Linked DNA regions of Saccharomyces cerevisiae S288C. The gene in region 4 interacts genetically with the main gene of each other region. Each region holds a gene or a part of one and is shown on either strand. Other genes may lie near its edges.

Region 1 (3,208 bases), on a different chromosome or scaffold from region 4:
GCCTGCTTGGTAAAAAGCATCAAGTAGCTCAAAAGCTTGTTCTTTGTCCATTGATCCCATGAATCCAGACCAGGCGTCACCAATAGACATACCTCCCAGGATTAGTGGAGAAACTCTTATACCAGCTGTTTTAGATAGGACCCTAAGACGTCCTAACTCGGTAGGTGGTTCAGGTGCAGGTCCAAAAGCCTCAGACATTTCGAAGAGCACATTTTGCGGCGGTGGGTTATGAAGCTATTCAATTAATTAACCAGTCCCCAACCGAAGGTGAGAATCATATTGGGTAATACACCTTATTCCTAGTTGTGCCACTATCCTTTTATATGTTTTAAAATCCCGCTCCCTTAAATTTGTACAAGTGCAAGTAATGAAAGTTGTTCGATTTCGGTACGAAGTTTTCTTACCGGTTCCGTGCGAAAACAGCAGGGAAGTACTAGAATAGGCTTTTGAAGCATGCCACCCAGTCTGCACATTTACAGCGAACTTGTGGTGATATGTTTTCCCGTTACAATGATTATTGCGTGGACCCATAATTCACCCTTATTGTCTCTCCATAGTACCCCTTTTCGATATCATTTTCAAACAAACTAGAACTGATAAGATGTCCTGGACTCTTATAATCTATGTGACCACAAAATGGCTCACTAATTCCGAGCCCCAACAGTTGCAAGGCTTCCAATGGTAAACCCTTAAACACTCGCAAATCAGTCCCTAAGTGAAGATTTTCCTCTGGTTTCAAGTAGCTCTTTGTCATAAAAAAATATCCAGCAACTCTGTCTTGTGACGTACGATTTGCACTGGCTGCATGGTAGAGGCTCCCTAAGAATAGAACTGCGTCTCCCTTTGCAACATTAACGTGAAATTCCATCCTCTTGTCAAAGTTCCCACAGGAATCGTGCGGACCCCACAAATGTGAACCGACTATCATTCGCGTAGAGCCATTTTCTTTATTCATATCTGTAAAAGCTACACCTAACCCTACCATGGTTTCGGTTCCATACTGGAAACGTTCACATGCTTGATGGGTCGTATGATGAACAATATCTTCTCGGTGGTAGCCCTGGTCACTTGCACCAGCGCCAACCTTGTAGACTATACCGGAGTTCAGTTGAATATCACTAGTGCATTTATTAATCACCTTTCCCGCCGCAAAGTAGTTTTCTTCATTCAAAAAATGTTTTGAGATATCACAAAACATACGGTCGCATACCACATCCTTTAAGACTGTAGATGAGTGTAAAACCGATCTCGTTGCCACAGTAGTTTCCTTAGGAAACGGTGAGCCTTGCCATGATTCGTATCTATAAAAATGCGGTTCGATTTCTTTCAATATTTCATCACATCTGGAGGTCTCTATAAAATTCTTGACCACGCAAAGTCCGTATACTTCCATTTTTTCAATAATTGCTTTGTAATCGAACTTGTCTTCGACTGTGAATGCCTTTTGCGTTAAGCCAGGCTGGCATACGCCAAGATCTTCCTTTTTTTTCATATTAATGTATTTTTGGCCACCTATATTGTATGGCTCACTAAGGTTGTGTGAATCTGTGTTCATCGTATGGATTGCGTTTTGAATCTGTCCTGCTTGTACTTTGAGTAGGGGAAATCTCTCGTCTTAAGATCTCATGGATGTGCTTTATATACTTTATTAGTTTTACAGACGCGTCACCTGCTATCAACACATGACCTTAATGTTAGACTCTGATTAATTAAATATTCTATTTCTGTTGAGAATAAATTACTATTACTCCGGGGCAGCAGTACCTTCATTTTGAAGGAAAATGAGACAATCTTGCCTCTTTTCCAACGTAAAATTCTTTAGCAGCCCAATAATGCCTCACTTCGCGTTATGTCACTTATTTTTTTTTTCTTTGAGTCATGTATGGACGACTACTAGCCACACCGGTGCTGAAAATCTATAAAAAACTTTGATTCATAACCCAATTTTGACTATCCTCATTAATTTTAGCAATTTCGCCTGTAGTATGTTCATAACTGCAGAATTCTACGTTATGGCAGTACTTCTTTACGTTGTTTTACCAAAAGGTATTATTTTTCGAGAAGCTTTTCAACCTGCCTAAGTTAGTAAACCCTTTTCGCTTTTTTCAACATTCTATGGCTTTTCCCTAGCACTGACATATCTGTAAGTTGATTGCGTGGGACGTCTAGCGCAGGTTTTGAGAAGTTTCCAACAGGCATATCTAGCTTGATATTATTAGGGGTCTATCTGAATCGCTTATGTAAACAAATATTCAACTAGCTTTTCTGTCACTGCAATCGGTAAAATTTTAAACGGCCGTTTCTGCATGTACGCCAACTCACAGTTAAAGCATTCAAAAATTCAAAGGAATTACTAGTAACGCATATTACAAATTCTTTAAACATAAATACTAAGCTATATTGAGCCAAGAACATTCGTTGAATTTTTTTTCCGCCAGTAATGAAAGATATAGTTCGAACTAGGGTAATTGTACTCACGATGGGAGAAATAATAAAAAAATCAATATCTAAAGTCTGACGTACCGTAAAGTTTTCATCACGAACTATGGCGAAGGTTGATGAGACTCTCTAAAATTATTTTGATTTTTGAAGGACGTTTCCCTAATAATTATTAGGGAAAACAGTGCCTTGTCACAGATGAACTGGAATGTACGAGTTAAGGATACTCATATACAACTGCGAATTATGTAATTACATCTATTTTCAGCTTTTGCTATATATTGCATAATTCGGCAGACTTAGTTTATAACAAGAGGCAAAGTAAATAGCCTTTAAAATTTCAATATTGCAGACAACACAATATCGATAAACATAAAATGGAGAAGGCCTTAAAGATATTTTGGCTTTTTTCTCACTGGCTCGATGGGTAACAATGGTCAAAAAAACAGGGCTATTATTTGAGTCAGCGAAGTTTCACAATTGTGTCATATTGGTAGATGCACTGATATTACCGAAGACTTTGTCATTACTTTCTCATGTACGCTGGATTAACGCTATTGAGGACGGTTTTTTATGTAACTTTTTCAGCCGCAGCGTTTTGTAGGCAGATGAAGTGCGCTCATTCGTTTCAATTGTAGTACTTAGTCGCATTTACCATTTTTTTTACCAATTATTGACCTTCCTGTTTCAGACGATCCCAAGGGTCCAGAATGAAACATAAACTATAGTCTTGAACAGAGATTTTCTTCTCAATTAGGACTTTTAGGCT
Region 2 (2,604 bases), on a different chromosome or scaffold from region 4:
TCCTCCTCTTTGCAGGCAGCTGGTGCATGGAGCTTATTAAACATTGTTCTGTGGTTGTTCTTTGATGGCACTTTAACCGTTTTTTTCCCAGGTCTAGTAATTGGTGCCCTTAGTGCGTTCACTTGCTCACAATGTTTCTCGCAGTTGTCACTGGCGTTGTATTTTATAGATTTCTATTTTTTTGGGTTTTTGATGTTCAGCAAGTTGGGCAGATATTTATTCAATTAAGTGTTCCCATAGGGGCGTTCAATGATTAGTATCGATGTGTAAATCTTAGCTGATTTTTAGGCCTCAACAACCTTCATTTACTAAGCATGTGAGTAAATCAAAAGGATGACGTCAACAAAAAACACATCAGTAACACAAGGTATACCATACATACATATATATATATATATATATATATTATTTGGTAATTGAATATTGAAAATGCAAGGGCTTAGCCGAAGCTAGTGATGATAAAAAAAAAGTAATACCACATAATATCATTCCTTCATTAGTCATTTATTTGGAGATCTTGGTGGAGGTCCACTTGAGATACTTCCTTGTCTCGAGATAGAATCGCCACCACTACTACTACTCATACGTCTTCTAATAATAGACTCTCTTAAACCGCTAGGATTGGTCACTGGTAGATTATTACTAGAATTATTCACGATAACGTCATCCGACTTAATGACTCCGGCCTTTTTCAATGCATAATCTCCGCTGTCAAAATATTGACGATCCTGCATCTTATGTCTTAACAGATCTTTTTTGGATGGAAGCTTCCCATACATTTTATACAATTTTAGTTCTTGTGGTGACAGCTTCGATAAATCCACTCCCTCTTTGGTAAACCCATGAGGATTGCTCAAATCCACCCTGCTGCTTGTAGGTGAAAGATCCTCTGACATAGTTATATCACTTTTATAACACTTCTTTGGTACGTATTTTTGTTTATATGTGTTGTATTTCTGAACCCCAATATTCTCCCGCGATAACCTGTAATTTAAAAGATCATTTGTCTCGTTCTATTTTCTCCTGCGCTGACTGCGGATTTTACGAAGAACTAGAAAATGGTTCCAACTAAATGGAAGGAAGGATAAAATATTTTCGACGGTTTAAAAGACCAAGTTAACACTATATAAACAAACCAGAGTGTTAAGTTATATCATGTTGCACATGAATTCGTTGTGGGGTTGTTTTCTTTTCGTTTTACTAGCCGTGACAGGTGCTGTGCAGGGTCTCCAAGAGGATTACAGTGAATACGCTGTTTACAGGTTTACTTCAGACAACTATTCTACCCTGGTAAGAGATGTGATCGCACCGCTGACAGATGATTATGATGTATGGACGAGAAGCAATAATTTCATTGATATTAAGTTGCCTAAAGAAATAGGTGAGCAGATAAATGATGGGCAGGTGATCATAGATAACATGAATGAATTGATACAAAATACATTGCCTACAAGTCAGATGATGGCACGTGAGCAGGCTGTTTTTGAAAATGATTACGATTTCTTCTTTAACGAATACAGGGACCTGGATACTATTTATATGTGGTTGGATCTTCTAGAAAGAAGCTTTCCCAGTTTGGTTGCAGTGGAACACTTGGGCAGGACATTTGAAGGCAGAGAGCTAAAAGCTCTGCATATATCCGGAAACAAGCCAGAATCAAACCCGGAAAAGAAGACTATTGTTATCACAGGTGGTATACATGCCAGAGAGTGGATCAGTGTCAGTACCGTCTGTTGGGCACTTTATCAGTTGTTAAATCGATATGGTTCGTCTAAGAAGGAAACCAAATACCTGGACGATTTGGACTTTTTAGTCATACCTGTGTTCAATCCAGACGGATACGCATATACGTGGTCGCATGACAGACTATGGCGTAAGAATCGTCAAAGGACTCATGTTCCTCAATGTCTTGGTATCGACATTGATCATTCCTTTGGTTTCCAGTGGGAAAAGGCACACACCCACGCTTGCAGCGAAGAGTATAGTGGGGAAACGCCCTTCGAAGCTTGGGAAGCATCTGCTTGGTACAAGTATATTAATGAAACCAAGGGCGATTACAAAATTTATGGCTACATTGACATGCATTCGTATTCACAGGAGATTTTATATCCCTACGCATACTCGTGTGATGCCTTGCCCAGAGACTTAGAAAATTTGTTGGAGTTATCATATGGCTTATCCAAGGCCATCCGTTCAAAATCAGGTAGAAACTACGACGTAATCTCCGCATGTAAGGACCGTGGTTCCGACATATTCCCCGGCCTCGGTGCAGGTTCTGCGTTGGACTTCATGTACCACCACAGAGCACATTGGGCATTCCAGTTGAAATTACGGGATACAGGGAACCATGGATTTTTATTGCCTCCAGAAAACATCAAGCCAGTTGGAAAGGAAACTTATGCTGCTTTAAAGTACTTTTGTGACTTCCTACTAGACCCAGAGATATAATGGATACCACGGTATACATTATATTACAAGTTAGTAATACCCTATCCTATATAAAATCTAGAAAAAGCAAAACCTTATATATTTTCTTCTATATTCTCCAAAAAATTATTTTAACTTGGATTATCTGCTCATACACCCCCTAACATGAGCAGAACC
Region 3 (3,367 bases), on a different chromosome or scaffold from region 4:
GATCCAAATGAAATAGCATATAAGATAAAAATATTGCGCAATACTCATGGCCGTTTTGAAAATAGCATTATCATGGGTCAAGGACAATGGATTTTTGATAAATCAACTGCCACTGGAACGGTACCTGTACTACGTGGCTGTATTGAGTATGAAAATACTGGGCCAAATTTTACAAAAAAAGTTGATTTACAAACAGTCTCCTTAGAATATTCTTACATAGGACAATCGGCCAGTGGAATCTATGTAGAAGCCATCGATATTGTATCTGGATTAACAATTGGCAAAAATACAAAGCTGTACAAGGGTGCAAAGTATAAGACCCAGACAGGCAATTTTCAAGTAAGGCTGTAGTTATATGTGTACTTGAAATTCCATGCGAAACTAAATAGAATATAATGAGAATATAAGTCTTGGAATAAAAAAGGAATATAAAACTATGCTAAAAAAAAAAAAAAATGAATAAGACTTTCATTCATGAAGACTCTATACAAAGGAATGAAAAGTTGTATTAAGTTGGGTTAGCCCACTGTAAAACGTAAATTGCACCTGAGACAACAATAATACTTACAGGCAAACTTAAGACAGCGTACCCCCAAAATAGAATATCGGCCATTTCTGCCTCGAAAAATTCATTCAGTTGAGTGATTTGAGTTAATTGAATGGCAGGAGGGGAAACAGTCAAAAGAAAACCGACAACAAGGAAAATTGGATCGTCCAAAATACTCACGTTTATGTACTTAACAGCAATAGCAATAATAGGCAAAAGGAAGCAAGAAGGTAAAATCATTCTTCCGATGATGGAGCCGATCAATAACTTGCTATGGTGAACCGTCTTAGGGAAGACTTCCGCAGAAGGATATAAGTTAGAACCGAGGACAACCAGGATCAGTGGGATAGAAACTGAACCCAGCTGCGTAACAGCCTCGGCAAATGTGTTATTGATAAACCCATCTTCCATAAATAGCTCTCTCTGCAACGGACCAATTGCTGCCACAACAACAGCAAAAATCATGGAATATAACGGAGGATTAAGGTTCGCTCTGATTCTCTCAAATACAGTGCATGATTTTTGCCAAATCTTATCACCGATGGAACTCGAACTCAAAAAAGATGAGTTCATTCTGTTATTTTCTTCTTCAAGCAATTCTTGTTCCTCTTGTTCCTCATTGACAAGTTCCTCGTTATCAATGTTGGGCGTCCTTTCCAACAAAGATTGCACTTGAGAAGGTGGCATATGCTGAGTGTTCTCTCCAGACCACTTCATTAGCTTATTGTAACCCCAGCTCCACCTCAGCATTTGTCCGATTTGTTGAAAGATCAGCAAGTATAAAATACCCCTTGATGCAACGTTATCTCTGTTATCATTAGGAATTTGGTCCCAAGTTAAGTTGGGCAGAGTGTAAGCCAAAGATAATGTCAAGGACACAGGTAGAGAGTTACTGTTACCAAAGACAGAGTTTGCCACCACAAAATTAGTTTCATCTTTATCCAAGTCTAGGATACGGCTCATTATCTTTCCGGAAATAAATGAAATACCAGTAGTCAAACCAAAAAAAATAGGAATGATGGCTATTTCAAAGATTTTGGCCATGGACAGGGATTTGGCCAACTTACTAAAAATAAGACATGGTGTAAAAAGGTCCACGTTCAACAGAGAAATGATTTTTTGACTTTGTTTGGGCAGCAGACCAGAACTAGCGCTCCAAAAACCAGCGAGTGCGATAATGACTACCTGTAAAACGGACTCAAAGACCAAATAAGCCAAATGAGCAAAACTAAATGTTTCAACCATATAGTAGAAATGCAGAGTAATCTATGAGGGTATGGTTAGTTGGGAATAACAAACCAAAAACGGGCTTCACACATATTGTTCAATTTACAATAATTTCCTGTTTAAACTTTTATATCACAATTTCAGTTTTTTTTTCTACCTTTTTTTCACTTTGATAAGGAGGCTGTGATCCCCTTGATGCACGTGCAGTTAAAAAAAAGAGGGTTTTTATTTTCTTTTAGATAATTATACAGAAATACTTGATGTGAACAGTACACTTAAATAATCAAGAAGTCGGCCCTGTACTTAAATTGTGGTTGTTGAGCATTCAATATGTCCACCTCTTTGTGCTTTTGGGTTTCTCTTTTTGGGAAACCCTCGAAAGAGTCAGCATAGGTGGCCACAGAGTGAGCAATCAACTTGGTGTTGGTAATGAATGCGTCCCAGGATAAGTTAGAGACATCATCACATAATTGATGGTAGCATCTGTCTAAGACCTTTCCGTTGTTGACGTTATTCTTTTCGGCACCAGTGGCAATACCACCGGCTGGAATTCCGTTGTTGATAAACCCGACATAATCGGATCTACCGTCAAATGGGACCAAAGTGTAGTTCAAGTGATGAGCCTTGTAGTAGTCTACGTACAGGTTTTTCAACTCTTCAGACCCCTTAGGGTTCTCCTTGTTGTTCGCATCATAAATTTCGTATTCATAGTTTGGAGAAGCCATCATGTCATAGTCCATAAATACTCTGATCTTGGAGTTTTCTTCTTTGGTCAAGTTATAAGCGTAGAAGTTAGAGCCTAGCAAACCTTCTTCTTCAGCAGCCCACCATGCAAAACGGACCTTGTTATTGATCTTGAAATGGGTCAATTGCTTAGCGACGTTCAATAGGGAAATAGTACCGGAACCATCGTCGTTGATACCTGGGCCCTCCTCAACAGAGTCTGAATGAGCACCAAGGGCAACAATATTATCAGGATCACCGTGTTTTGTGTCGGCAATGATGTTCTGGGTCTTGATAAATTCTACATAAGAGTCCATGGCAAAATATAATGAATAATCGATGTTCAATGCAATATTGGCAATCAATTTTTTACCAACTTTATATGGAACACCGACGGTGGCGACAGTGTGCTTGGTAGGTTCGCCTAATGTACCGTGTAGTCCTTCTTTAGATTTAGGTTCGTTGTCGTAAATGACCACAGCGGTGAAACCGAACTTACCGGCCAAATTACTCTTATCGCCAAAAGGACACTTACCTCTTTCGATAAGGGCAATTTGCTTTTCGTTGTGTCTTGGTGGGACTACAGAGGCGTAATCCTTCTCTTCACATCCCAAGTTAGGAATTTCGACTAGCTTACCTACGAACCCGTCCACAGGTGGAGAAAGTGCGAAAGCTGTAGTGTTAGCAAAGCTTTTACCGGTTTCGGCGTCAGAGAGGTTGAAAGAGATGATCTTACCGGATAAAGCTTCGAACTCTTGCAAAGAAACATCATAGTAGTCCTGCATGTCATCGAAAACATTCAATATGTATTCCATAGTCTTGTTATGACCCTTGGACCCGATCACACGGGTAGGGTGACCGTAGTCAGGA
Region 4 (3,461 bases):
TCATTATGTGATTTGTTGTGCGTCACCCTTCCATGATTATATATCCTTACTATCTACTATCCAACTACTACATATCTATTGAACTCATATGTACCAAGCACATAAAATTATGCACCTATTTCCATTGGCAAAGACTTGGCGAAATTTAATACACTGTAATAATATCCGGCGAAGCTCTTTAAGAATTCTTACCTATAATAGCGGCTCGCTGTCCGAACGATTGCGCCGCACTTTTCTGCCTCTTACATTCCCTTTTCCTAAGGCGATAAGCAGGCTGAATGGAAACTACGATATAACGCAGTAGAGGTCCCCCAAGAGCTGGAAAGAAAATATTGGTTTGATAGCCAGCACTATTCTATCCAGTGGGCTCTTGTACCATTTTCTGTGGTATGGCTTTGATTCAACTGCATACGTAGTTAACGCGATCAGCCGCACATGGGCATTATCATTTTCAGGGGTACTGGTAAACCCTATTGTTTAGAAAGAATACCTGGTAAGCGGGTCTGTCGAGTCTTTCCCACTAATTTTGAAGAAAAAATCTTTACCTAGTTTGAGAATAATCGTGGCGTTCGTAACATCACGAGGTGAGAGAGACCAGTTAGGTAAGGGTATGCCAATAAAAGGTTATTGATACTTCAACGAATCTTCATATTAAAAGTGCCTTCACCAGAATAAAATTCTAACGTCATCCTAAAAAGCATCAATTGGACATAGTGAGGGAAAGTTTTCACCATTTAAAATCTATTCTGCAGAATACCATTCTAGACTATGATCCCTTAAAGATTCCCATTCTTTAAATATACAAATCAGGTTCAACAGCGTATCTTTATGGTATTATCGTACTACTGGCGACATTAGCAAATCCAAGTATCCTAACTAGGTTTCTAGTCTTATCTCTTGGTTTTCTCCATTAGATGGTAAACACGTTACCTTGATGGCTGTACAGGAAGTGAACATGGTCAACTCAAAGTCACCGGACTCAAAATAATTGCAATTACCTAGACTGGATATTTTTAGAATATTATGAGAATATTTTTAGAATACTTGCAACCCAAAATATATTTAAATGCCGCCAATTTGCAACCAAAAGATTATCCGCTACCTTTTTTTTAGTCATTGAATTGTAGCATAAAGTTCCGAGCTTTGAAAAAAAACTTTGAACTAAGAAAAGGTAAGAGATCCTCAATTATGATATTACTTCATGCCATATATACTCTTTGGGTAATTATACTACTTCCGCTACTCAATGCAGAGAAATTTGTCCCAAAAGTAACGGAGGCTCCTATAGAAACATCATTTAATCTAGTGAGTTTTGATGATTCCAACACTTCTATCAGATTAGATGGTTGGGGGGTTGTATGGATAAGTTTCGACGCTGGAGAAAATTGGGAAACGGTCAAAGAAATTGAAGAGCGCATTTTCAGATTTACTGTTGATCCTTTCCATGGACAGGAAAGAGGTTTCGCTTTTATATGTGAATCACCCAAATTCTACATTACCGACGACCGTGGGGAGTCATGGAGGGCTTTAACTATACCCTCATCAGAAGAATATTTAGATGGCGACTGTTTTATAACTACTCATCCTAGAAACAAAGAACTTCTTATTGCGAATTGCTATAGCTATATGATAGACGCAGACGTTTTATATGACCCAAGTGAAATTTACTTGAGCAATGATGGGAATCCTTTTTTAAAATTAAACCTTCCTTGGAAAAGAAAAAAGACGACGATATAACAACTTAAAGCTGTCATTTCATTAAGTCTAGCAAGGATTCTGACTTTACTGGTAATGATACTTCGATACTCTGTTTGTTCTCTAACCGTGAATACGATGAAGAATATCGCTTAACTGCTACCTACACACAGTTGGCTTTCAGTAGTGATGGAGGCAAAACGTTTAAAGATTTTGATGAATTTAAAGATAAGATTGTTACTCAATACAAGATATTGAAGTCATATGTGGTCGTTTTAACGCAAGATGACGGGCATAACGAGATGTCATCTACGGACATCTGGATATCCAATGATGCATCTACTTTTCAAAAGGCACAGCTGCCTACTCAATTACGGCACGTCAAAGTGATTAAAATTCGTGAAGATTCTATCGGAAGGATCATCCTTCTTATATCGACAGAAATCACAAATGAGGAAAATGCTGATCCAGATCTCTCAGAGATTTTCATATCAGATTCGCAAGGGTTGAAATTCTCACCTGTTGAATGGACACCAAACCATCAGTTTGGAAATTTTAGGCTCACTTTTCCTGATTTCTTGAAAGGGACAATATTTGGATCGTTTCATCCTTCCATTGACTATTCTAATCACCAAGTAAACTATACTGAAAATATAGCCGGAGGAGAAACCAAAATATCCGTTGATAACGGCCTCACATGGTCAAATTTGAAAGTTGTTGATGAAGAAAATGCCGATTCGTTCGGCTGTGATATCACTAGGCCTGAGAGATGTTCACTTCAGGGTTATTTTTACAATCTAAAACTTTCAAATCCTTCTGCTGGGATCATATTAATGACAGGTTCTGTTGGCGATGACAATGAATTCGATCGGAAGGACCGAAAAACTTTCATTTCTAGAGACGGTGGTCTAACATGGAGGGTGGCCCATAATTCTTCTGGATTATATGCTACTGGTGATCTGGGAAATATTATTGTATATATCCCGTCTCCTTCATATAAAGATGGTGATGTACAATCCAAACTTTATTTTTCCTTGGACCAAGGTAGAACATGGAATCAATATGAGCTTGTTGACGCTTTATTTTATATCCATCCATTAGAGTTGATTAATACAACGCCAGATGGATCAGGCTCAAAATTTATTTTAAGCGGACATCTCATTACTACGGCTAGTCAAGAAGGAAACAACACCAACATCTCATATATTGCAAGAAGTGTCCTGTATGCGATCGATTTTTCTGCTGCATTTTGACTATAAAACGTGTGAAGAGGAAGATTTCGAAGACTGGAATTTGGCAGATGGGAAATGCCTTAATGGCGCCAAATACATGTATAAAAGGAGGAAACAGGACGCCCGTTGTTTGGTAAAAAGGACATTCAAAGATATGATTTTGCATGAAATACCTTGTGACAGTTGTACTGAATCCGACTACGAATGCTCTTCTGAATTTGTTAGAGATGCAAAGGGTGACTGTATACCAGATTATGATCAGATTGCCCTTTCCGATATATGTGACAAAGCTAATGGCGAAACTGTATCATTAGAGCCATTACAATTAATTAAAGGAGATAAATGCAAAAAGCCCATGGAAATTGAGGCCATGAACATTCCATGTGAAAAAATCCTGAGGGAGAGCTCGAATGGTAAGAAAATAGCAACCATTGAAAACAAGTTTGACTTTGAAATTTAATTTTATCAATATTTCGATACAGTTTTGGGTGAATCTTTTATCATGCTTAAGTCAATAGAAGATGCCTACATACC

The links.
Region 1: mutations in EMA35 (region 4) and YJR154W together harm fitness more than expected from each alone (negative genetic interaction), as found in Saccharomyces cerevisiae (one large-scale study listed by BioGRID).
Region 2: mutations in EMA35 (region 4) and IGO2 together harm fitness more than expected from each alone (negative genetic interaction), as found in Saccharomyces cerevisiae (one large-scale study listed by BioGRID).
Region 3: mutations in EMA35 (region 4) and YBR287W together harm fitness more than expected from each alone (negative genetic interaction), as found in Saccharomyces cerevisiae (one large-scale study listed by BioGRID).

Annotation. Positions count from the first base shown.
Region 1 is NC_001142.9:724,131-727,338, reverse strand, and holds YJR154W (uncharacterized protein), read right to left. Parts: upstream 1,556-3,208; coding exon 515-1,555; downstream 1-514.
Region 2 is NC_001140.6:368,346-370,949, reverse strand, and holds IGO2 (phosphatase regulator), read right to left. Parts: upstream 897-2,604; coding exon 501-896; downstream 1-500. Other genes in the region: NSG1 (Nsg1p), read left to right, coding at 1-228; ECM14 (putative metallocarboxypeptidase), read left to right, coding at 1,156-2,448. UniProt on the Saccharomyces cerevisiae protein: Required for TORC1 to properly control gene expression and chronological life span. Plays an essential role in initiation of the G0 program by preventing the degradation of specific nutrient-regulated mRNAs via the 5'-3' mRNA decay pathway.
Region 3 is NC_001134.8:774,996-778,362, reverse strand, and holds YBR287W (uncharacterized protein), read right to left. Parts: upstream 1,793-3,367; coding exon 509-1,792; downstream 1-508. Other genes in the region: APM3 (Apm3p), read left to right, coding at 1-351; APE3 (aminopeptidase Y), read right to left, coding at 2,050-3,367.
Region 4 is NC_001135.5:300,758-304,218, reverse strand, and holds EMA35 (Ema35p), read left to right. Parts: upstream 1-1,997; coding exon 1,998-2,948; downstream 2,949-3,461. Other genes in the region: YCR101C (uncharacterized protein), read left to right, coding at 1,189-1,737; YCR099C (uncharacterized protein), read left to right, coding at 2,920-3,387.